3 linked regions of the Daphnia pulex genome follow. The main gene of each other region encodes a partner of the protein of the gene in region 2 in a complex. Links are inferred from orthologs where the notes say so. Each region holds a gene or a part of one and is shown on either strand. Other genes may lie near its edges. The genes, in order: cleavage and polyadenylation specificity factor subunit 6-like, transportin-3-like and serine/arginine-rich splicing factor 1-like.

Region 1 (7,266 bases), on a different chromosome or scaffold from region 2:
AAACTGCAAACAATTTCACACGGCGTTGACTGGGGATTTTCCGTCACTCTTCATAAGATACAAGGACAAACCTGCTCCAAATTAATCGTCGACCTCAACCATAGACCCTTCATGCCGCAAATCACTTTCCCCGGATTCTACGTGGCTGTCTCTCGCGTTCGACGAGCTCAAGATCTCCGCATCATGCCTCTTCAACCCAGTAGCTACAATTTAAAGTTCCTCAACGGGCTACAACCATCCAAAAAACTCATCACTTGGATGAAAGGTTACAATGCGCACGGAGATTGGGATGCCAGACTCATCCCATCTGAATTGCTCGACACGCCGCTGACTACTAAACGCAAAAAAAAGGATACACCAACAACAAGTATTTCAAACTGCCGAATCAATTTCTAATAACTTTATAACAAATGAATTGTTTTTTTCCTTTTTTTACAGAACCTCCCTCAAAAAGCACCAAAACTAAAAAGGCGCCAGCACCACCGAAAAAAATGAAAACGCACGATACAATCAACGTAGGCGCCTCTACTTCCAGTCAACCAACAGCCCCATTACCGCACACTTCTACCTCGTCTTCAATTGAAATGGAATTTCCTACCCTGAGATGTGAAACAATTTCAGAAATCAACGAAGACAATACTTCCCTTTCTCAAGTCATCATCACTAGACCTATTGCACGCAGCGAATCGTCTACAACTTCATCATCATCGTCACTTTACAGTACATTCAACATCAGACATCTGTCTTCAGTAGAATGTCTATTTCTCTTTATGTTCATTCTATGTATTCTGAGTATCATTGGAATGGTAATCTACTTCAACTAATAAAATACTGTACTGTACCCATTCAAAACTCATATTAATAACGCTCACTACTGTATGCATTAATAAGTTTTCGTCACATAAAATAAATCAATAAACCATTTGAAAAACATCACCATGTACGAAACATTCATTGAACCCGAATGTCATCTTATAAAATATAAACTTTTTCATCAGTCAGATAAAATGAAAAAAGAAAATGCTTCAACTCCATTTTTCATTCCACGTCCATGACCTGATAACTGAAAGAATTCTGTCAACGAATTCACTGAAGTGACTAGATACAAACATATTTTTTTAAAATGAGGAATGTACATTGACAATGTAACATACAGCAACTCTCCTTATTCCAATCCACTACTTTCCTTCTCAATTAAAAAACTTAGAATTTATATACTATAAATGAAATACAAACATTAGCCGCTAGGTGTCACGACGAAAACTATCAATCGCAATTTTCAGTGCCCTATCTACTTATCTCTAATGTATCATATCCCCTTACAATAAAAAAAATCTAAGAATCCTAATAAATGACAATAATATTAACCGACCTTCAAAAAACCTTCCAATAACAAACAAAAAATTTCTTATTTCAATATATTTCTTCACAATCCATTAAATCGATTCAATCATACCATTCGAGCAAGATTACAAAAAAAATTTTGTCAATAAAAATTATTAATTGCCAACACCATCTTCCGCAAAAAAAATACAACAAGCATCAATCATTCAAACATTTATATCATTCCTATCTCTGCAATTCATTACATAAAACATTCCATATAAATGAAAAAAAATAGATTGACTCACCACAGCTTTCATTTAATGTTTATCACATTTCAACATTTCACTTCGATAAAAAAAACAATCTTCATTGCTTTCACTTCATTAAATTGTAACACATAATAATTCACACAACATTAGCTAAACTCATCACAATAATTCATATCACTAATCACTATTCATATCTGACAAAAAACTCACTTTAAAAAAATTCTTCTCACAAAACTGATGCACCAACTAACAGACAAATATTCAACAGCAGCCAATTTGAAACAACAACTTTCCAACTAAGAATCTGAATCAACACTGAATATCTGACTGTAAAACATCAAGAAAAAAAGAAAAACACAAGGTTATACTAAGAATAATGTGATATCAACAGTACTAAGAAAACATCAATCTAAATGAAGAACTAACCAAGGCCACGGACAAAATAACAACCACGAAACACTGGCCCTGCCAAATTTATTTCCTTTCCTCTGATTTTATTCGACACAAGAGGTGCAACAGTGAGGTATAGAATGACAAACAGAGAAAACAATACGAAAACTTAATTTTTAAATTTCCTAATCAAGAAAAAAAACGAAAGGAGACTTATAAAATCTCGAAGGTGCCACAAAGGGGCTTGATTAATGGTTAATGAAATGGACTCTGTCATTTTTTCGTTGCAGCAGAGAAAACATTGGGTAGTACGTTTATAAATAAAGTAAATACGTTAAGTTTATGATAATTGTGTTGCTTAAAGGACTTGTTCTTTTTTATTTAACATACTTAAGAAGCATCAACATACTTTTTAAAACTTTAAGTACGTTAAATCTATGATAAGTGTGTTGCTAAAAGTACTTGTTCTGTAAACATACTTAATTTCATTTTTATAAACATACTTATTTTTTTGTAAGCATGTTACACTTCGAAGAAGCATGAAATTTTGCTTTTCAGTTTGTTTATAATTCTTACCAAAAAGCGTAACGTGTTAAGTAATCTTAAAGTGCTGAAATAGGGCTAAAATAAGCATCCTACCGAGCTTCCGTGTAGCTTTTAACTGTCGGTCAACAGTATCAAAATAATGTTTTACCTGTCTGACAAGAAAAGACTTCAAATATACTAGGATAACTAGGAAATTATGTTGGATCGTGTCGGATTTATGCGGGTTTTTTTTTTTTGCAAGATTTTTGCGGGATTTTGAAGAAAATCGTGCAAGATAAAGTGCAGGATTTTTAAAAAAAAAAAAAACGGATTTTCGGGACTTTTTAGGCAACCCTGCACGACTTTGCTATTTCAGAAGTGGCAGCACTGGTGGAAACAGAGAAGAAGTTCAAGACTGTGGTCGTTGGCCATAGACTAAACTTCATAAAATGGCTGACGTGCCTGATATTGACTTGTATGCCGACGATCTTGGTGATGATTTTCATGGTGTAAGTTTACGTACTTATTTATAGTTACCGGAAGAATGCGATGTTAATATTCTGTAGTTCGTTTATCAATAACTTATTTATGTACATTTATGTTCATTTTCTGTTGTTATCCCACCGCAGTGTTTGGCGTGGCGTCTTTGCTGTTTACCGTTATTAGATGAGACAGCATCATTTAACTTATTTTCTTAACTGATTACAGGATGGTGACGAACAAATTGGCGATGGCGTTGACTTGTATGATGACGTCTTGACATCTTCAACGAGCATCAAGCAGGAACTAAATGGAAAGGAGAAGATCTCAACGCTATCTTCTCATATCACATCCAGCTCTCTACATGGTTCATCTTCATTGATCGGAACTCCACTTCAGCTTCATGGCAGCAACAGCTCATCACAATCCAAAAGGATCCAGTTGTACGTGGGCAATCTGACGTGGGTACGATTATTCAAACCTTTCCATTTATAAAACCAATTGTTCAAAGTGTCGTTTTATTTATCTAAAAAGTAATTGTGCTGTATATCGAATCATTCCCAGATAGTTCCCAATTGTTTATTTTTATTTTATCGACATTAATCAAATTGTTAAGTCTGTGATATCAACCTAGCCACCATGTTGTTATGATGGAGGGGCTATGATGTGTGATAAAACTGTATGATGGCATTCAAAATTGAAAGAAGGGCATCATGAATGTTGATGTATGTATGTGTATGTGAGAAGGCATACCAATTCAGGGACATGAACGACCATGCATGTTGTACGCTGTGTATCTGCACTTTTTAAATAATTTTTTTTATCATCTATTGATCTATCATAAGTAGTCCATCAAAACTTATCATTAGCCCCTATCAAAACCTTTGACTGAAGGTTTTTGAGTTGTGTTGTATTACGTTTCTCAGGATGCGGTCCTCCATAGAACTCCCCAGAAAAAAAATTCTTGTCAATCAGTTTTGCGTAACTGATGTGCCACATCCATCGCCCCATGTTTTTTTTTCTCCTTTGATCTCTGAAATCGTCATCTCTGCCAAACGATATTTGAGTCGAATGAATTGTTAGTTTGGGGTGGGATATCGCTTGATATGACAATCTCAGCCACGTATTATAACAACCGCTGGCGCCCATGTGCAGGAACATCTTTGATGATGACAAGAAAAAGAAACTGCACTCTGGCATACACTCACTACAAATTGCGCGGCTGTGTAAAGGTGCCCGATCAAAATATCTTTTATTTGACCAATACAATTATGGTATGGATGTAATCGGCAGAAAACGATTTTCATGCTTTGTTTTTCTATATTATCTTTCTTTCTTTTGTTTTTTAAACAAACAAACCCAATCCAAAACAACAACAAACGACAACGACACAACATCAATTTTGTGGTTGTTGGACAATACAGTGGACCACAGATGCCGACGTGGAGAATGCAATCAGCGCGATTGGCGTCCAAGACCTGGTGGAGGTGCGATTTCATGAAAACCGAGCCAACGGCCAGTCGAAAGGCTTCTGCGTCATCACCGTCGGTTCCGAGATCAGCGCTCGTCAATGCATGGACAAACTTCCCAAAAAGGATCTGCACGGACAGACGCCCATCGTCACCTTCACATCCAAACAGGCGCTCAATCAGGTAAGATCAAAACATTTCTTAATCGTTTAGTGCTGCTAGACGAATTTTTTCCAAGTGCATACCAGTAGAACCATTGACTGTCTAAATTGAATACAGTTCAAAGGTGGGAAAGTGTAATGCAACATTAAAACCAATCAAGTCTGTAAACCTACAAGTGTCGTACAATTTAACACTTAACGGACGACTTGACTGGAACATCTTTAAACATTTATGTTTTATGCATTTCTTTTAATGTCAAAATATTTTTCTTATTCAGTTTGAGGCGCAGTCAAAGAGCCGCCCATCTAGACAATCAAGTCCTCCGCGGAGTACCGGTTCTGCTCCATCCGGAGTTCCGTCGCTAACAGTCGGATTACTCGGACCTCCTCCAATGAATGGGCCTCCTCCTAGGATGATGATGGGTCCGTCAGCTTCTTCATCCGGACCCCCACCTTTAACGAGTCTCTCATTACCTCCGCCACCTTCAGTTCGTGGTCCACCGACACCCGGAGGCATTCCCGTTCCGCCACCGACGCATCACCTTCTTCCACATCCGGTCATGTCACCTACGGTCGTACCGCGAGGTCCACCACCCGGCATGGGGATGCGTGGGCCTCCGCCCGGAATGGATATGAATCCTCATCGTATTCCGCCTCCTGGCAACGGCCGGCCAGAATGGGCCAACATAGTCCAGCAGCCAGCTCCTCACGTCAATCCGGCATTCTTCCCTCCGCCCGTTGCGGCACCTCCGCCTGGATTCCCTCCACCGATCGGCCCACCACCACCATTCATCACTGATAATCGGCCACCGCACACCAATGAGCCGCCAAACGTCAGTGAAGCCGAATTCGAGGAAGTGATGGGCCGCAACCGAACAGTTTCTTCTTCCGCCATTGCTCGAGCTGTTGCGGATGCCTCAACTGGTATGTCTTCAAGCTTCATTTTGCTCATTGAACCAAAATCAGTAGTAACTTATCTGTCTTCTTCATCCAATCAGGTGATTACGCCAGTGCAATCGAGACGCTAGTAACGGCCATTTCGCTCATCAAACAGTCAAAAGTGGCGCATGATGAGCGCTGCAAGATCCTGGTGTCTTCCTTGCAAGATACGTTGCACGGCATTGAGGCCAAGAGCTACGGATCACGAAGAGGTACCCGCATCATCTAGTTTCTTCTTTTTTAAAAAACATTCTTAACGTGAAATTGTTTTGATTGTAGAACGATCCCGGTCGAGAGATCGCGAAAGGAGGAGAAGACGTTCACGCAGTCGGGAGCGCGAGAGGCCCAGTGAACGGGACCGGGACAGAGACCGTGAAAGGGATAGAGAAAGGGAACGCGAGCGTGAAAGGGACTACGTTGAACGTCCAAGGGAGAGAGAGCGTGACCGAGACCGCTCTCGAAGTCACGAGCGAGACTACCGAGAAGTGCGTAACCCGCGAAATTACGAAGAACGTTACTCTTCGCACGAAGAGTCCAGGCGAGGAGATTACGGCGGCGGAGGAGGTGGTGGCAGTGGTCGCGGTGGAGGATCTGATCGAGACAAGGACCGTGAAAGAGATGGTGGAGGCGGAAGTATGCGAGGCGGACGAGGCGGCGATCCAGGGATGGATCGGGAACGTGAACTACGTTCTCGTGACGACAGGGAATCCCGGAGCATGAGACACTAGAAGACGAGCATCATATACGGATGAGAAATGAAACAAACAAAACGATTGACAACTTTAATTATCGTCATTAATCAGAATATCTTTCTCCCCTCGCGTATTTACCGCGACTTGGTAGCATTTAAACACACGTATGAACCACGATTTTTTTTATTTCGTTTAATAATTTGCTTCGGTGTGTCACTCCCTCCCAAGTCCCTAAAAACTTTCTTGAAACAATAAACATTTTCAATTTCATTCACTACTTTTGTACGTCATCGGTTGATTTCTCGAAACATTAGTATTTAAGTCCATGAAATGTAGAAATTGATTACAAAAGATGTGATGGATGTTGAATTCACTGGGCGGTTTATCAGTCGGTAGTAGAGTCCCGACGAAAATCAATAGTGGGTTGCGCCCGACATCTTCGATTTTGTTCGTCTCCATTCACATCAAATTCAAGATTTTTCGGATGCGTGTTGAAATGGAAAGGCGATGTGAGGTTGATGATGATTTATAGAAGGGGGGAAATCCTCAAGTGTGTATTGCGCATGTGGAATGAGCACGATTTTTAAGCCCGCAACTCTTTCACACAACAAAATGCGCCCATGTGATACAAGTCCGTTTGTTTTGCAATTTAAAAAAAATGATGAAAAGCCCAGGATTGCAGCTGACGCCACTGCTGGTCACACACAAAAAAATGGATGCCAAATAGGAGGGGAATCATAGTAGGGGAGGAGGTGAATGACGGTTTTTTTTCACAGCGACAAGGAGAAAAGAGAAAAAGTGGAGGAGCTTCTGCTTTGAAAATTATTATCTGCACAACAGGTAAGTGTGTGTGTGTGTATGTGATAGACCGGAATCAATTAATCGGCATACTTGCTGTAGCTGGGGGAACGTGAACGACTGCGTGAGTCCCTGCAATAACAAAAAGAAAAGTTTGTTTTGATGGCTTTTGCAACAGGAAGAAAATGTCAGTAGTTAAGGATCTTACCTGCGAACT
Region 2 (7,424 bases):
CAGGTAAAACAGTATAATATCCCATCTAAAAAAATGAAATACAATTAGCGTCTCTTGATTAACTTACATTTTTAACTTGACATTTCAAATGGTGGTGTTCCAAAAATTTGATTTACCAAAGGAAAAATATTTGAAATTAAAATATTAACTTACCTTTTACTTGGAATCTTGAATTGCTCTGAACCGACAAAGTGTTGCTTCTTTCCGCAAATCTTGACGACAACTGACCATCCAAGACCTCCAAACGGGTTATTTATACCATAATATCGATTATTGTACATTGGTCATCGTATGATGACGCGTGTGAAGAGGAAAGGACGCGAGTATACCTGCAACAGAACACGGGCCTAGAGATGTTTACTACCCAAAGCAAGAAAGGCTAGTGTTTTGAATTCACTACACGTGTCTGGTCATGGTCAACTACAGGCTACAGCTCACTCGTGTTCATCGGAGACGAGCACGAGCTAACACCTGAAGATGAGCAATCGCCTAGAGCATATCCTTCTTTTATGATGACCACCAATCAAAGCTTATAGCTTATTATGCTCTTGCATACAGACAAGAAAGATCCGTAGATAGGCCTATTTTACATATGAATAATCTGGCGTTCCATAAAAGGCGAAATTTGTCTTGTTTTTTTGTTTTGGATACATGAAAATTTCCATGAAATGTGTATTAGTAGATTTCCAGCTTCATTGTGCGATGGTCGACGATGTTTGAGAGGAGCGAGGGAGGGAAACTGCGTCTGGATGTGTTCAGGTGCACTATGACATTCCCTTGATTATATTCCCAAATGTACAAGGGTGGGAGGAGGATTTAGCCGAAGTAAAAGTTAAATGAGTAGGAGCCAAAAAAAATTAACCAAATTAACAACCAACTCATTAATTGAATTTTAGGAAGAAGCGTTTAGTAGCTTGAAAAACATTATCGAATGAGTCATCAACAAAAGTCAGGTTTTCACCGATAAAGTCTGGAGAAATCACGCAATGCATTTGACAATTCCAACGACGTTTCCGCCCTGAATCAAAATAAGAAATATAGAATTATTAATAGAAGAAACAAAATCATTATTTGGCGGATGGACAATTTAAAAAAAGTTACCTGATAACTTTTTGGCGGAAATCTTGTAGCTGCTCGGGCCTGACGGCGACACATCCGGCAGGTGACTGACGAGGTAGATTCTCCAGCGTTTGCTCCATCCAGCTGGAAATGCTCTGTTCCATGAAATGAATATTGATTAGCAAACGCGGATAAAGTTGTTGGACGAAAAGAATTGGGCTCACCTGTCGATCGACTAGCATGAATTCGAGCAGAACGTCTGCCACATTGGGTAATGAACACGTTGACAACGAGAATATCGAGGCGGTGATTAGAGTGCTGATGAGCATCTGACCTTTAGGGCGAAGCACCGTTGACAGGAGTTGGTCACGGAGTTCAAATGAGAGTTTCTCCTGTATTAAATAAAAAACGTCAAGTTTTCATCCGACCAAGTTATCTAATATTACGGCAAACCTCTCGAGCCCGCGTGGTGTGGATCAACTCGGTAAGAAACTGCATAACGCTGGCATTGGCGTCTCGGTGATCCAGTGCAGCCGCCTGCATGGCACAATCGAAAATGGCTGGTAACGCCGGGCTATGGAGGAATGCGACTGGATTGCGCTGAAGGAAGCGAGCGAATAGACGGAAAAGGTCATCGACTGTGTCCGGATTGTGGCAGAAACCTTGCTGTTCTTGCAACAGCTGGAAGGCGCGCGGTAACAGCGCTTCCAGCATCGAAATGAGACCGCCGATGCATTCGTTTTCCGAACCGTATTCGTCCACTAGGATACTTGCTAAATAGAGGAAGCAACTATGATGATGAGCATTGTACAGACGCACCATCTAAAAGGAAAAGAACGAGAAATTAATCTATGCACGCTACCATGAAGGATGACAGAAAATCAAACCTGAGTAACGAGCGGTTGCAATAGAGGAGCAGACTGGTGGCCAATCAATCGTAGAGCGAATCGGAGGCACCTACAGCAGCGCTCCATCACTCTTCTGTCAGTTTGGAATTTATCCAACGTCATGGACAAACACGGCCAGGTAAAAGTAATGGCTGACTGGCATGGATGCTGTTCGTTCTTTTTTATACTGATATTTAAATTACGGAACACTGAGGCTAGACGATCCAACCAGTATACCGGATCACTGCTAGTTTTGGCGACGATTTTCGACTGACTTTCCACCTTTGAAAGCAAAATTGCCAAAGTTAAAAAAATATTTGTCGATTATCGTCGGTAATCAGTAAAACTGCAAGGTATATTACCTGGGAAATTCTTGTTAATTCATCGACATGAATCTTGCAAAGCTGGTGCAGAGCATCGCTAATCTGATGGTCGGGTAATCGACTGCAGACTTTGGTAACCCCTTTGACTACTCGCACGGCCGTCTCCGTTGGAATGGGTAACGTGACCAATGCACTCACTACTTGCAGTAGAATATCGAAATGAGATTTCAAATGATCTCGACAAATGCTGGTGATGGCCTCCAACGAATTTGAAGCGGCCAAAGCCAACGACGGATCATTGATGGAACGTAGCACACAATGAAGCACAGGCTCTACAAAATCGGGAGTGATAATTGAATAATAATTTAGCAAAATCAAAGAAGAAAAAAGGCTCACCGACAACGGCAGGATGTTTATCCATCCAATCACCCAGTTCACCCAGAAGAAGCAGTGTTGTAAAACGCACTGCTGCATGGGCGCTTTCTGGTACTAAAAGTAACGACTCAATCACACTCTGCACAACCTCATTCTCGTCACTGCAATGGAAGAATTGAATTGTTAAATGGCCTTAGCCGGAGTAATTAAATCCAACGAGAATTACGGCAAAATGTTTTTGGCTACAGCTTGCATGATAAATAGTGCCGACTCTGTCACCTCCCACGGAAGATTGTTTTGGCCATGAATGCTGTAGAAACAATGTTTAAAAACGGAAGCCGAGCCGACGATAAAGACCACGTCTTTGACCAGTTCAGACACTCGCGAACGAAAGCCAGCGAAATCATCGCCGTCTTCCAGCACACCTTCCTGTTTATAAAATAAGATGCTAACTTATTTTTGCTACTTGTAAAACTAATTGATTCTTACGTGATCCGGTTCCATTTGACAGTGACGACATACAGCACCAATCAGTCGTTCGATATAAGGTTTGAACTTGACGGTTCGATCGTCGTCATTGGCGTGGTAAAGATCTTCAGATAACTTGTACCAAAATCCAAACGTAATTTCAGCAACCTTGTAAAAACATTGAAAATAATGAAATATATTAATAATAAAACCAGAGTGATATAATTTACCTCGTAGTCATGATGACCTACGCAGGTCAGCACTAGATCCAATAAACCAAACAAATTAGATGCGTTCGTCGTTCCGTTGTTGTTTTTGGTCGACTCCAACATCCGATGAAGCAAGGCTTCGGCTATTTCAGTGAACACACGACAATAGTTCAACGCTCTAAAAATAGACTGCAATGAGAACACCAAGTCATGGCCAGGCAAATCAATAAAGACATACTTTTCCGTATCTTCCTCCGCAACAGCTAAATGGTAGGCAGGTTCAAGGTTTTTAATACTTTGGACAAGAGAATCTTCAAGAGTACGAAGCTCGTTCAAGGTAGAGGTCAATTGACCATTCTGAGCGGTTGCATCTTCATTTTCTTGATCTGCAACTACTTGAAGCAAAGCACAAACGGCATCACATGCTGCTTCGTGAAGCAATGGAGTGCTCTGTGTTGTAAACATAGATTTAGAAATGATGACAGAATTGATAAGGGACGAATCAAATGTAACTCTTACATGGTGAGAAGAGAGAGTGGCAAATACATGAACTAATGTGGCACAACTTGTTAATTGGTGTAACGTAACAGCTTGCAAATGCACCCAGGATGAAAAACATCGTAACAATCGCACACCAATCAAACGGTCTGAAGATGGAATGGTCAAACAGGAATCCTGTAAAAATTGAAAGTTAGGAACTGTTTTCAAGCTAAACTTGAACTAAATAGCCAACCAAGAGATTCAAAACATTTTGTGTTGAGGCAGCAAAAAGTTTGAGAACTTCAGATCTCCTGTTTGCTCCAAGCCTTAAAGTTCTGGAGCCCATTTCTTCAGGTAACACAGTCAAAACTTCCAACAAGGGCCAAAGGTGAGTGGTTTCAAAATTGTTTTTTGGTCCAAACGTCTGAATCAGATCCTGGATTGGGGTATTCCAACTTGTCATTTGTAATAACAAATCAGCTAATGCCAAACACAGCTGGGGAGGAAAATGGAAAAGTTATTATTTTTTTTACATATTGCACCTGGAAATTATTTCAATTACCTGAGTAACAATCACAGTATTAGTGTGCTCATTTATCTGCCTCAAATGATCGAGCATGGAGTCTCGCAATGAACTGTGTGCTTCAGGAGGCAGCTCGTGGAATGCAAACTGAATTTTCGTCCTTAATGTCTGAGCCCCAAAGTAGCATGATTCCATGTCTTTTTTTACATGCAATAAATGATCGGCTATCTTCCATGCAAATATCTAGTCAAAGCCATTATGTTACTAATTCTTGGAAAAAAACCAACGAAAAATGTGATGTGTACGAACCGATTTTTGTAGATCCCCCAGCCATTGCGAGGCTCTTTCTTTACTTACAGGATCGGGATTATGGTATAGGGCGTTAAGGGCGTCATACACAACTTCTATGGCCGGGAGCTCGTTCATGATTATTTCAATGTTTTTTCAATTGTTATACCCTTTAATCCAAGACGATAAAAAATGTTGTAATGTGAGCAAGCCGGGAAGTTGTTGCAGAGGAGTACTACTAATCAAAAAGTCAAACACAGTAACAGACCCGAAATTGACAGAGAAATGTCTGCTAGGCTAAAACAAAAATTGATCAACAACGATGCCGGTTTCACTAATCCGACGACGGTCGGCTGCGGGGTAATAAAGCGCACACACACACACGACAAATGGGGCACGGGCCATGTACCGTACGGACTGGGACTGACCGGCGCACAGAGTAATATTTCCAACGTCCCAGAGAATTCCCACCTGCAAAAATATGTGTTCATATGCACTTGATCAATCAGAGAAGGAATTACTTATCTTTTAGATGACACATTTCTCTTAATAATTATTAACGACAACGGGAAATAAGAAACAGATTGCTCTTCTCGGAAAGTCGAATGAACGGTCCGACTGAAACATATATGATTGCACCAAGTAAACAAATATTTAAAAAACCTGGTGTATAAATGATGATTACGAATAAAATGTATGAAGAAATAGTTTTTAAAAAAAGTCCTCGGGGTAATAATAAATTGTTGAACTATGCGCGCCAATTTTTAATCTTTCAGAAGTTTATTGAAGTAAAGTTATACTTATTGGTCTCCACCTCCATCAAAGCGAGACAGAATGTTACCTTGAAAAGCTCATTAGGGCAAATAGCTCCAGGTGATTTATGAGACAAGATAAAAGCTTGAAGCAACGTGATAGTTGGCGAATTTGCGGTAGCGCAATGTAGAGTGAGTACAGGGGAAAGCGCACATACGTCACAAAGTCAATTTAGAAAATTAAACGTGGATGCAGGGCTCCAAAATTATTAATACAGGATTTTAAGACGAACATTCTTGCTGATGATGACGAATCGCATTCCTGAATTCTTAGCATAAACGAGTTTTTATTTCAAGCATTAGATTTTTAATTTTTTATGAGATTCGAAATAGGATTCATTTCATAAGCGAATAAGACAGAAGAATTATTGAAAAAAACGACTCGATTTTTCTCTCCAAATTTGGATGCGTGCGGGTCTGCGGGAAAGTAGAAGTTGTTCGAAAATGTTGAAGTTTGCCAATTGGCCACCGTTGGCGCACTGTCGCTTTTTTTTCAATTGCGGAAACATTGCATGAGCAATGATGCAATGAGGGTTATGATTCATAACCCAGAAACACCAAAACCTACATTATAAATGCAAATAAAAAGGTGATATTTAATTGTATTCAGTTTGAAAATAATTGAACAATATTTGTTAATTCTGAAACTATGACTTTAATCCAATATGAAACGTTTAAAAGAAGAAGTTTAATTAAAAAGCTAGGAAAAACATAGGAAAATAACTCGTGCGAAGGTGCTGGGATTCCCCTGCCGGCATATAAGGAGGCGACGCCATCAACGACAATATACTTAAACTCGCCATAGTAGTTTATTCCTTCATAATTTCTCACTGCAAAGAAGCTTTCAATCGGTCTTTATCATGATTTCCCCAATTGATTTGATTGCTACTTTAGTTATGTGGATTGGATTGTGTTTTGTCAGTCATTGTACTGAACTTACCAGATCGCAAACAGTTGTGGATACTAAAAAGAGTATTCGTGTTGAACCTGACGTGTTGGGAACCCGAAAGGGTACCGCCATTACTACCAGACCATCAATTACCAACAACAACGACAGCTATCAAGAAAATAACAACAACTTGATAAAGAAGCTTGCAGAAAAAAGCAATGTTGCTGCCGAAAATAAGATCCTGAAAGTCAAACTGGCTAAACTGAAGTTTGAACTAGCGCTCTCCGAGAACAACAATCGGAAGCTCAAAAACGCACTGGATGAGTTGGCAGCCTCTAATAAAAGTGCCATGGAAGCAAGAATACTATTCCTTGAAGAGGAAAATATGCGTTTAATTGACAACCAAACAAAGTCAAAACTTATTATCGAACATAAAGACCGTGTTCTAGAAGCCATTTCTTTGCTTTCATCCGCTGACAATATCGGAGATGAAATGGACAATTTGTGCGATAACAACCTGATTGGAACCGACGAAAAGAAAACGGAAGTCCTTCGACTGCTGGGTGAAAACACATCAGAGAAAACCATCACTCAAGTAACACCAGATGTTGGATGTGAGGAACCCAATATGCAACCATCGAACGACTTGGCAATTTGTCCTGCAACAGCTCAATCTACCGACGAGTATCCCAACGAAGTATTTTTCCAGTGGACATCCAGCTCGGATACCAACTTGGAACCATTGGTCGCTTCCGAATATATAATTTTATTCAACCTACCACTTTGGCTTCACGGTAACGATTACCTCCATCACTTTGAGCTACATGTTGGCAAAGTGGCGAAATACATCATGTTTGCCGACGAACAAGGACAATACATAGGCAACATGGCGTTTTTCTTCTTTGACCCATCGGACACAAGGCGGGCGTATAAGAAATACGATGGTATGCTCTCGGAAGGCAACAGGATCGAAGTCGCTTACTTTATCAATGAACAAAGATCGTACCAGAAGGAAGAGGAGCCGGTTCCAACTATTTCTCCTACACCGGTTGAAGTTTCCCAACCTACCGATGTAACTTCAGCCGATGAACATGATCAGCAGACAGCATCA
Region 3 (6,875 bases), on a different chromosome or scaffold from region 2:
TCAAAAAACCTAGAAGTTTCTACTGCACAGACCTCGGCAACAGTAAATCAACTATAGAGTCAAGCACACTCAGAACTGACAACGTTAAATTCAAGATCTTTCTGACCGGCGCAGATCTGCAGACGGTTAAGTTCTTCTTCAATGATATTAACAAAGGCCTGTTACCAGCAACTTACATGAACTCTGATGTTCGTAAGTCAAGTTGTGTCCAAAGCGCCACCAGTGGACTGATTCATTCAAACAACATACTAACATACTATCATGATAATATGGTTACAATTTGGTTAGTAAAATACAAGGTTAACAACATTTGATTTCTCATTTATTTTTCATATTGCATTCATGAGGGAAAAACGTTTTTGACTGAATGAATGTTTTCCGTTAGAGGGCAGTAGTAACCGTAGCAAAAAAATGCGGGACTAAAATTGACAGTCAATTGCCTATCGCACAAATACCTTGCTCCAACGTATTAAGGCTTTAAGTATCGGTAGAAGTAAATGATAGAACCAAGTGATTCTAACGATAGTTACAAAAGGCGCGTTTTTTTTAAACAGGGAAATTATTGAAAGTCTATCAACTATAATTAACAATAATAATTATTCACGTTTCTCCTTGCTAAAATTTTTAATTAAAATGAAATGTGTGACGTCAACATTTATAAGCGTTTCCGTTTGCTGCTGTTAGAATACTTTTTTAAATATCACATTTCCGGGCGGAACGGACAAAACAAAACATTGTGAAATATAATAAGGAACACAAAAGAAGAACATAAATACTTTTTTTGTTATTATTATTTCAAATCTAAGTTGTCTTATCCCTTATGGCACGCTCAACTATTTTTCAGACTTACAATTTTCAGAGCTATTGCTTATGGCAAGCCAACTCAAAATTTCACAGGAAAAAAGGAATAAATGCACCACTGAAAAATTAAAGATAGGTTATTGTTGTAACCAATGCCGGTTTATTTATACCAGTTCTTGAAAGGAGATAACCCCCAGAGCAAATGACCTTGTCACAAAGTTGATCGTTACGTCAATGCGGTTGAAAAGAACTCGACCTTGATGTACGATTTTATACCAGGTATAGATTGCACGCGAACGTCGTTACCAAGAGCCCAACAAAAATGTCGCGCAATAGGCTCTGCATGCAAGGGTCATTCAGTTAATTGCACCAGAACAAAGAAGTACTCAAGATAACAAGCATAATTTTGAGATAACTGAGTTAACCATTAATAGCTGTGGTTCGGTCTTCGGTTTGCGCTTACTAGAGTGCCACCGTGTTCACTTTGAAACCTAATTATTCACAAAGCCACTAATATGAACTTATTTCAACTTAATTTTCATCCGCGATTTATTTGCTAGATTTATAGGCAAACAAAAAAAATTAAAATCACAAAAATAGTAACTATAAAAAAAAGACAAAAAATAAAAATAAAAGCGTTATCAACTTGCTGATCTGGCAATGCTCCATGGCTGACGCCATTACCCGTTCAGAAAAATTTACGGCATTTTTCTGTTTGACAAGGGGCGCCTAACACCCAAGACTACTGTGACGTCTTTTTTCGAAAAAGCAAATTCCGTATTCGAATTCGATTTAACATACACATTTGGCAACTAACCGTAAGTGACAAGAAACAGTCAGTATGTCAAGTTCTCGCAACAATGAAGCCAGAATCTACGTCGGTAACTTGCCACCCGACATTCGCACTAAGGACATTGAAGACTTATTCTACAAATTTGGAAAGATTGCATACATTGATTTAAAGAACCGACGAGGACCTCCTTTTGCTTTTGTTGAATTTGAAGATCCCAGGTATGTTGCATGGTTATATTTGTTTCCTTGTTTAGTTAATTACAAGCACTTTATAGGGATGCTGAGGATGCTGTGCATGCTCGTGATGGCTATGACTATGATGGATATCGTTTGAGAGTGGAATTTCCAAGAGGATCACAGAATTCTGGTGGTGGACACAGGTCAGTTTTTCTATCCTCACATACCATATTTGTAATTTAGTTGTGATTGTTTTATTTTGTTGGTAAAAGAAATTATGACAAACAAGTAAAAATCCTAATTTAATTTTTCATAATATTTATTTTTTAGGGGTAGTGGTGGTCGAAGTGGAGGAAGAGGTGGTGATGGAGGTAGAGGAGGGGGTGATGGTGGGGGTAGCAATGGTGGAGGCAGGAGTCGAGGGCCACCAGCAAGAAGAACAAATTACAGAGTCATTGTAACTGGTGAGTTAAACATTTAGTAAAGTTTTAAACCATCATTTAAAGCCACTTTTGATATTCACAGGTCTTCCTCCTACTGGATCATGGCAAGATTTAAAAGATCACATGAGAGAAGCTGGTGATGTGTGTTATGCTGATACCTATAAAGATGGAACTGGAATGGTTGAATTCCTTCGCTACGAGGATATGAAATACGCCATCAAGAAATTAGATGACTCAAGATTCCGTTCACATGAGGTATATTTTCTACAAATCTTGATAAACAAAGTTTTCAAAATTATTCGTACGTTTACAGGGAGAAGTATCATATGTGCGCGTTAAGGAAGATAGCGGAGACGGTAAGTTATATTTCAATTTTTGTTTAAAGTAAATATTGACCTTGAATTTTTTCTTCTATAGGTCGCAGCGGCGGAACTCGTGATCGATCGCGATCTTATTCTCCAGCCGGTGGTGGCGGCAAAACACGTGGAAGTCGCGGCTCCCCCAGCTATTCCCCCGTTCGTCGTGGTGGTTCATATTCCCGTTCGCGCTCACGCTCACCTCGTTCCAGATCACGATCTTAAAAAAGTTATGGAAACGAGAAAAAGGCAAAACTAAACAAAAAGACAAAAGTTGTGCGATGTGGACAACAAAAAGCTTAAGGATTGGAAGGACTGGAGGAGGAAAGGGGTCTTTGGTATTGTCTCCATGGTTCATACTATATTTTCAAAATTCTTAGATGAATAGCAAATCTTTTAAATTGCAAAAACCAATTTTTTTTTTTTTTACAACAAGCTACATCAAAGATTTCAATTTTTTATGAGAAACTCAAAATATGTTTCTTGGGTTATGATTTTGGCATTTGCAATTATTGCTACTAATCATTCAGTTTCTTCTCGACGTACACGTAATCCTTTTTGGTTTCGAATACCCTCAGAGCTCCCCGATTCCAACCAACTAATTTTTTTTTTTCCGTGAGCAACCTCATCCTTTCCTTTTTCCCCTCCCTCTTGTAATACACAAAATAGCTGTGCGTCGAATAAACATGATTCTCATTTTCTTCCCCTTTCTATTTGTAGCGTACACAGCAAGGTTATTGCTCTCTCTGGATGGGATTGTTGTGGGATTTGGATTGCATTGGATTTGGATTTCATTGGAATGGATTTGGATGGATGCATTGTGGATTGATAGGTGACAGGATCTGGAGGATATGCTGGAAACAGCAACCGCTTCTCCTTTGTCTACAACCGTCGTGGTGAATCGCTGTGGACTTGCCTTGTCAGGACCCGTTTATTTTAAAGAGATCTGTTGGACTCCGGCACTTTGGAATTGAGCCCGACCTAAGACAAGAGTTAACTTAGGATTGCTTACCCTTTGATTTTCAGGCACTTTTTTCATCATCATACAGAGAAAGAAGAAACCGACGGATGACGACAAAATGGAAATAATACATGCCTTGCAAATGGTGATATTTCCTTGGAGTACAAAGAAATTCCTTCGATGTTTACCGATACTTCTGTTTTCGGCACATTGGAAACAGTATTACCATTTTAATGACAATTTTTTTATGTATGATACGATTTAATACAACCAGTGAAATGCTTTTGAAAAAAAAATTATGACCAAAATTATTCTGTTCTCTAGACTAAAACAAAAATTTGATGACGTGTTTAAAATACAAAGTTGCTTTTCGTCTTAAACACAGAAAGAACAATTAAAACAATTCGCATTACGATTACTCACCATAGAAACTTAACGTAGAAACTGTTTCAGAGAAAAAAAATAGGTTTTTGTTTAGTTTTGATTTCTTTCTAAATTTATATCTCCTTGTCCTTGGAACCAAAAATGAGAAACAAAAATGCTTTGAACTTGAGCGCTTGCTTCTTCTTTTTCTTTTTACGAAAGTCCCAGTACTTCCTTAAGATTCCTCTAGATGGCGTCTTCGCGTTGCTTGGGTAACCAAAAACGTATAAAAACGTACAAATTTTCCCCCAAAATAGTGTAATTACACATTCACTTTGAGCATACTCAAAAAAACATATAGTTTGAAATTATATATTTGTACAGCGTTTTGAGTTTATCATCTGAATTTCTACGATTTTTCTGTGCATCAATAGGCTCTTATCGGTTGTTAACCGGTCTCTAAACAGAGCAAGTTTAGACCTGCAGTTACGAACTACAGTGGAAGATTGAAGCATTGGTAAGAATAATTTTGTTTTTTCTTCAATAAACCGATGATTTTATTTCACAATACATTCGTCATTTGTCATAGATTAAACATTGTTAGAAGATATTTTCAGTACGTTGAAAATTGTCACTATAATAACATTGTAGCAGAATGTTTCTCTTCAGTAAACAACAACTTTTCTTTCTTTTTTTTTAGGCATCTGTGATATAGGTTTTTTGGGGTATTTCCAATCATGGCTACTACAAGCATAAAAAGACCTAAAGAAGAAGATTCACTCGATGGACCTGGTCGAGAAGCAAAAAAGTTAAAATCACGATTCCAGGATGACAGCAATGGAGATGGAAAGAGTGACCAGGATACTACTGAACAACTCTCTTCTTCTCAGATTAGAGAAATGATGATGAATGCTCAAAAGATGATTGAGGAAAGGAAACGATCTCTCAATCAACCGCCAGCTCTTCTCAAGACTACCCCAGTGCTCTCATCACTTCCAACACCTGTAGCTCCTAAAGCCGTTCCCCCATCTTCAATGGATGAGCGTGCCAGAAAGATTGCTGAACTACAGGCTCAAATTCAGTCAAAACTAGCCACCTCCACTTTAGCCACATTGAACTTGAGTCTTCCTAAAACAGCCAGTGTCCCTGCATCAACAGGGGAAGGGTCTAATAATGAGCCGAAACCTGGCCCACTTATTCTCAACGCTGATGGAAGGACAGTTGATGCGACTGGTAAAGAGATTGCCTTGGCCCAATACACACCAACTCTCAAGGCAAACATTCGTGCCAAAAAACGCGAGGTGCTCAAGACTCACATGGGCAAAGGATCTCAACAACAAAGCGAGGAAGCGGGAAATTTGACGGAAAGTCGCTTCTTCGATCCACGTGTTGCAGCCAAATCCTCCGTGAGAACACGCAGAACCTTCCACTTTCACGAGCAGGGCAAATTTCAGCAAGTGGCATCTCGAATGCGAATGAAGGCTCAGTTAGACAAATTGCAAAGCGAAATCTCTCAAATTGCCCGTAAGACTGGCATCAATTCAGTCACTGCACTTGCTCTAGTTGCCCCACGAGTTGGCGATCGTCAGGAGGAGGAGGACATTGATTTGGAATGGTGGGACTCGGTCATCTTGCAAACACGAAGCTACGAAGGCGAAGACGGACAGCCCAATTTACGCCAGGAGACGATTACCAATTTAATCGAACATCCCATCCAAATGCGTGCTCCCACCGACCCGCTGGCCTTGCCCTATTTGCCCGTCTTTCTCACCGAGAAAGAGCGCAAGAAGTTGCGCCGCACCACTCGACGTGAAAATTGGAAGGAGAAACAAGAAAATATCCGTTTGGGACTGGAACCGCCACCTCAAGCAAAAGTTCGAATTTCTAATTTGATGCGCGTGTTGGGCAACGAAGCCATCCAGGATCCAACCAAAATTGAAGCTCACGTCCGCGAGCAAATGGCCAAACGACTTCAAAATCACCAGGAGGCAAATGCCTCTCGAAAGTTGACGGCTGACCAGCGACGCGAAAAGAAGGAGAAAAAGCTCCAAGAAGACACGACAACGAGCGGTGTGCATGTGGCGATTTACCGGATCAAGGATTTGTCCAATTTATCCAAGAAATTCAAAATCGAGACCAATGCCAAGCAGCTTTACATGACGGGATGCGCAGTCATTTTCAAGGACGTTAACGTCGTTATAGTCGAAGGAGGCCCTAAACAGCAGAAGAAGTACAAACGCTTGATGCTCAATCGCATTCGGTGGGAAGAGGACGCCGTCAAGGTTAGCAAACACGACACTGGTTCATCCTCCCAGCCCGAAACGCGGAATTCCTGCCAGCTCGTTTGGGAAGGCACGACCAAACAACGCAATTTTGGTGACCTCATCTTCAAACTTTGCCCATCGGAGGTTGTGGCTCGAGAACATTTTCGCAAACACGGCGTCGAACACTACTGGGACCTGTCTTATTCCACAGCAGTGCTGGAAGAAACTGAAGAAAAGTGATCGGTTTCATTCTGCCATCAACTTTAACTCTTTATTTTTTTCTTTTCATTTTTGAACCAAACGTTCATCTTTGAATATTACCATCAATAAAAAGATTTGTCTTTATTTCTTTTTTTTTTCTTTTTTTGTGTACAAAAACGGGGAATGTTATACAGGTCTTCGCAGGAACATGACAGAATATATCCTTTGACGCTGGGCAGCTTTTCAGGCACTCGGTGAATAGAAGGTGTAACGTGGTGTCGTGACGGGTTGCAAAACAAACGATAATCCGACAGTTGTTTGTGTTTGGTGATCTGTTGTTGGTTCTCCGTGACCTATGACGCAGCATAAGGAAAAAGGTGGTATTTATTAGACTAGTTCGTGATTGTCATTTCTAACAGATTTTTTAATAGTTTCCTTTTCAGCGAAATTGAATTTAGAATTTTTTTAAAAGGAGGAAACTAACCGCCCAAGGCTTCAAGTGATGACAGGAGGACAA

What was found.
Region 1: the proteins of transportin-3-like (region 2) and cleavage and polyadenylation specificity factor subunit 6-like are in contact, whole or in part, in a crystal structure (PDB 6GX9), measured with the Homo sapiens proteins. The link is inferred for Daphnia pulex from reciprocal best matches to the Homo sapiens genes TNPO3 and CPSF6. Residues at the interface, in NP_036602.1 of Homo sapiens: Arg620, Asn656, Arg657, Glu660, Arg661, Arg664, Arg667, Phe668, Arg671, Ser698, Cys699, Tyr702, Ile706, Asp709, Asp747, Asp750, Asp751, Arg754, Arg758, Gln761, Cys793, Arg797; in NP_008938.2 of Homo sapiens: Tyr521, Arg522, Glu523, Arg524, Ser525, Glu527, Arg528.
Region 3: the proteins of transportin-3-like (region 2) and serine/arginine-rich splicing factor 1-like are in contact, whole or in part, in a crystal structure (PDB 4C0O), measured with the Homo sapiens proteins. The link is inferred for Daphnia pulex from reciprocal best matches to the Homo sapiens genes TNPO3 and SRSF1. Residues at the interface, in NP_036602.1 of Homo sapiens: His155, Arg157, Arg160, Thr167, Tyr254, Ile256, Glu257, Glu304, Glu340, Ile341, Phe343, Asn344, Tyr347, Arg348, Glu351, His352, Lys355, Thr356, Arg620, Asn656, Glu660, Arg661, Arg664, Arg667, Phe668, Arg671, Ser698, Cys699, Tyr702, Ile706; in NP_008855.1 of Homo sapiens: Ser116, Arg117, Arg118, Ser133, Trp134, Gln135, Lys138, Asp139, Arg142, Glu143, Gly145, Asp146, Cys148, Tyr149, Ala150, Asp151, Val152, Tyr153, Arg154, Val172, Arg173, Asp176, Asn177, Arg181, His183, Tyr189, Ile190, Arg191, Arg198, Pro200.

What each region holds. Positions count from the first base shown.
Region 1 is NC_060024.1:13,143,376-13,150,641, forward strand, and holds cleavage and polyadenylation specificity factor subunit 6-like, read left to right. Parts: upstream 1-2,881; 5' UTR 2,882-2,959; coding exon 2,960-3,019; intron 3,020-3,218; coding exon 3,219-3,455; exon of another isoform or gene 3,456-4,096; coding exon of another isoform or gene 4,097-4,264; intron 4,265-4,414; coding exon 4,415-4,642; intron 4,643-4,898; coding exon 4,899-5,544; intron 5,545-5,618; coding exon 5,619-5,771; intron 5,772-5,838; coding exon 5,839-6,287; 3' UTR 6,288-6,525; downstream 6,526-7,266. Other genes in the region: uncharacterized protein LOC124200042, read left to right, coding at 1-367, 439-824; RNA-binding protein 1-like, read right to left, coding at 7,130-7,181, 7,258-7,266. UniProt on the Homo sapiens protein: Component of the cleavage factor Im (CFIm) complex that functions as an activator of the pre-mRNA 3'-end cleavage and polyadenylation processing required for the maturation of pre-mRNA into functional mRNAs.
Region 2 is NC_060023.1:7,818,968-7,826,391, forward strand, and holds transportin-3-like, read right to left. Parts: upstream 4,912-7,424; 5' UTR 4,751-4,911; coding exon 4,634-4,750; intron 4,568-4,633; coding exon 4,364-4,567; intron 4,298-4,363; coding exon 4,055-4,297; intron 3,997-4,054; coding exon 3,841-3,996; intron 3,772-3,840; coding exon 3,560-3,771; intron 3,500-3,559; coding exon 3,343-3,499; intron 3,281-3,342; coding exon 3,134-3,280; intron 3,074-3,133; coding exon 2,871-3,073; intron 2,806-2,870; coding exon 2,666-2,805; intron 2,602-2,665; coding exon 2,309-2,601; intron 2,229-2,308; coding exon 1,947-2,228; intron 1,882-1,946; coding exon 1,513-1,881; intron 1,452-1,512; coding exon 1,284-1,451; intron 1,215-1,283; coding exon 1,102-1,214; intron 1,019-1,101; coding exon 958-1,018; 3' UTR 659-957; downstream 1-658. Other genes in the region: protein rogdi-like, read right to left, coding at 1-25. UniProt on the Homo sapiens protein: Importin, which transports target proteins into the nucleus. Specifically mediates the nuclear import of splicing factor serine/arginine (SR) proteins, such as RBM4, SFRS1 and SFRS2, by recognizing phosphorylated SR domains.
Region 3 is NC_060024.1:10,558,641-10,565,515, reverse strand, and holds serine/arginine-rich splicing factor 1-like, read left to right. Parts: upstream 1-1,460; 5' UTR 1,461-1,642; coding exon 1,643-1,812; intron 1,813-1,868; coding exon 1,869-1,973; intron 1,974-2,100; coding exon 2,101-2,234; intron 2,235-2,295; coding exon 2,296-2,468; intron 2,469-2,526; coding exon 2,527-2,569; intron 2,570-2,630; coding exon 2,631-2,794; 3' UTR 2,795-3,269; downstream 3,270-6,875. Other genes in the region: U4/U6 small nuclear ribonucleoprotein Prp3-like, read left to right, coding at 4,631-6,397; zinc transporter ZIP3-like, read right to left, coding at 6,602-6,711, 6,843-6,875. UniProt on the Homo sapiens protein: Plays a role in preventing exon skipping, ensuring the accuracy of splicing and regulating alternative splicing.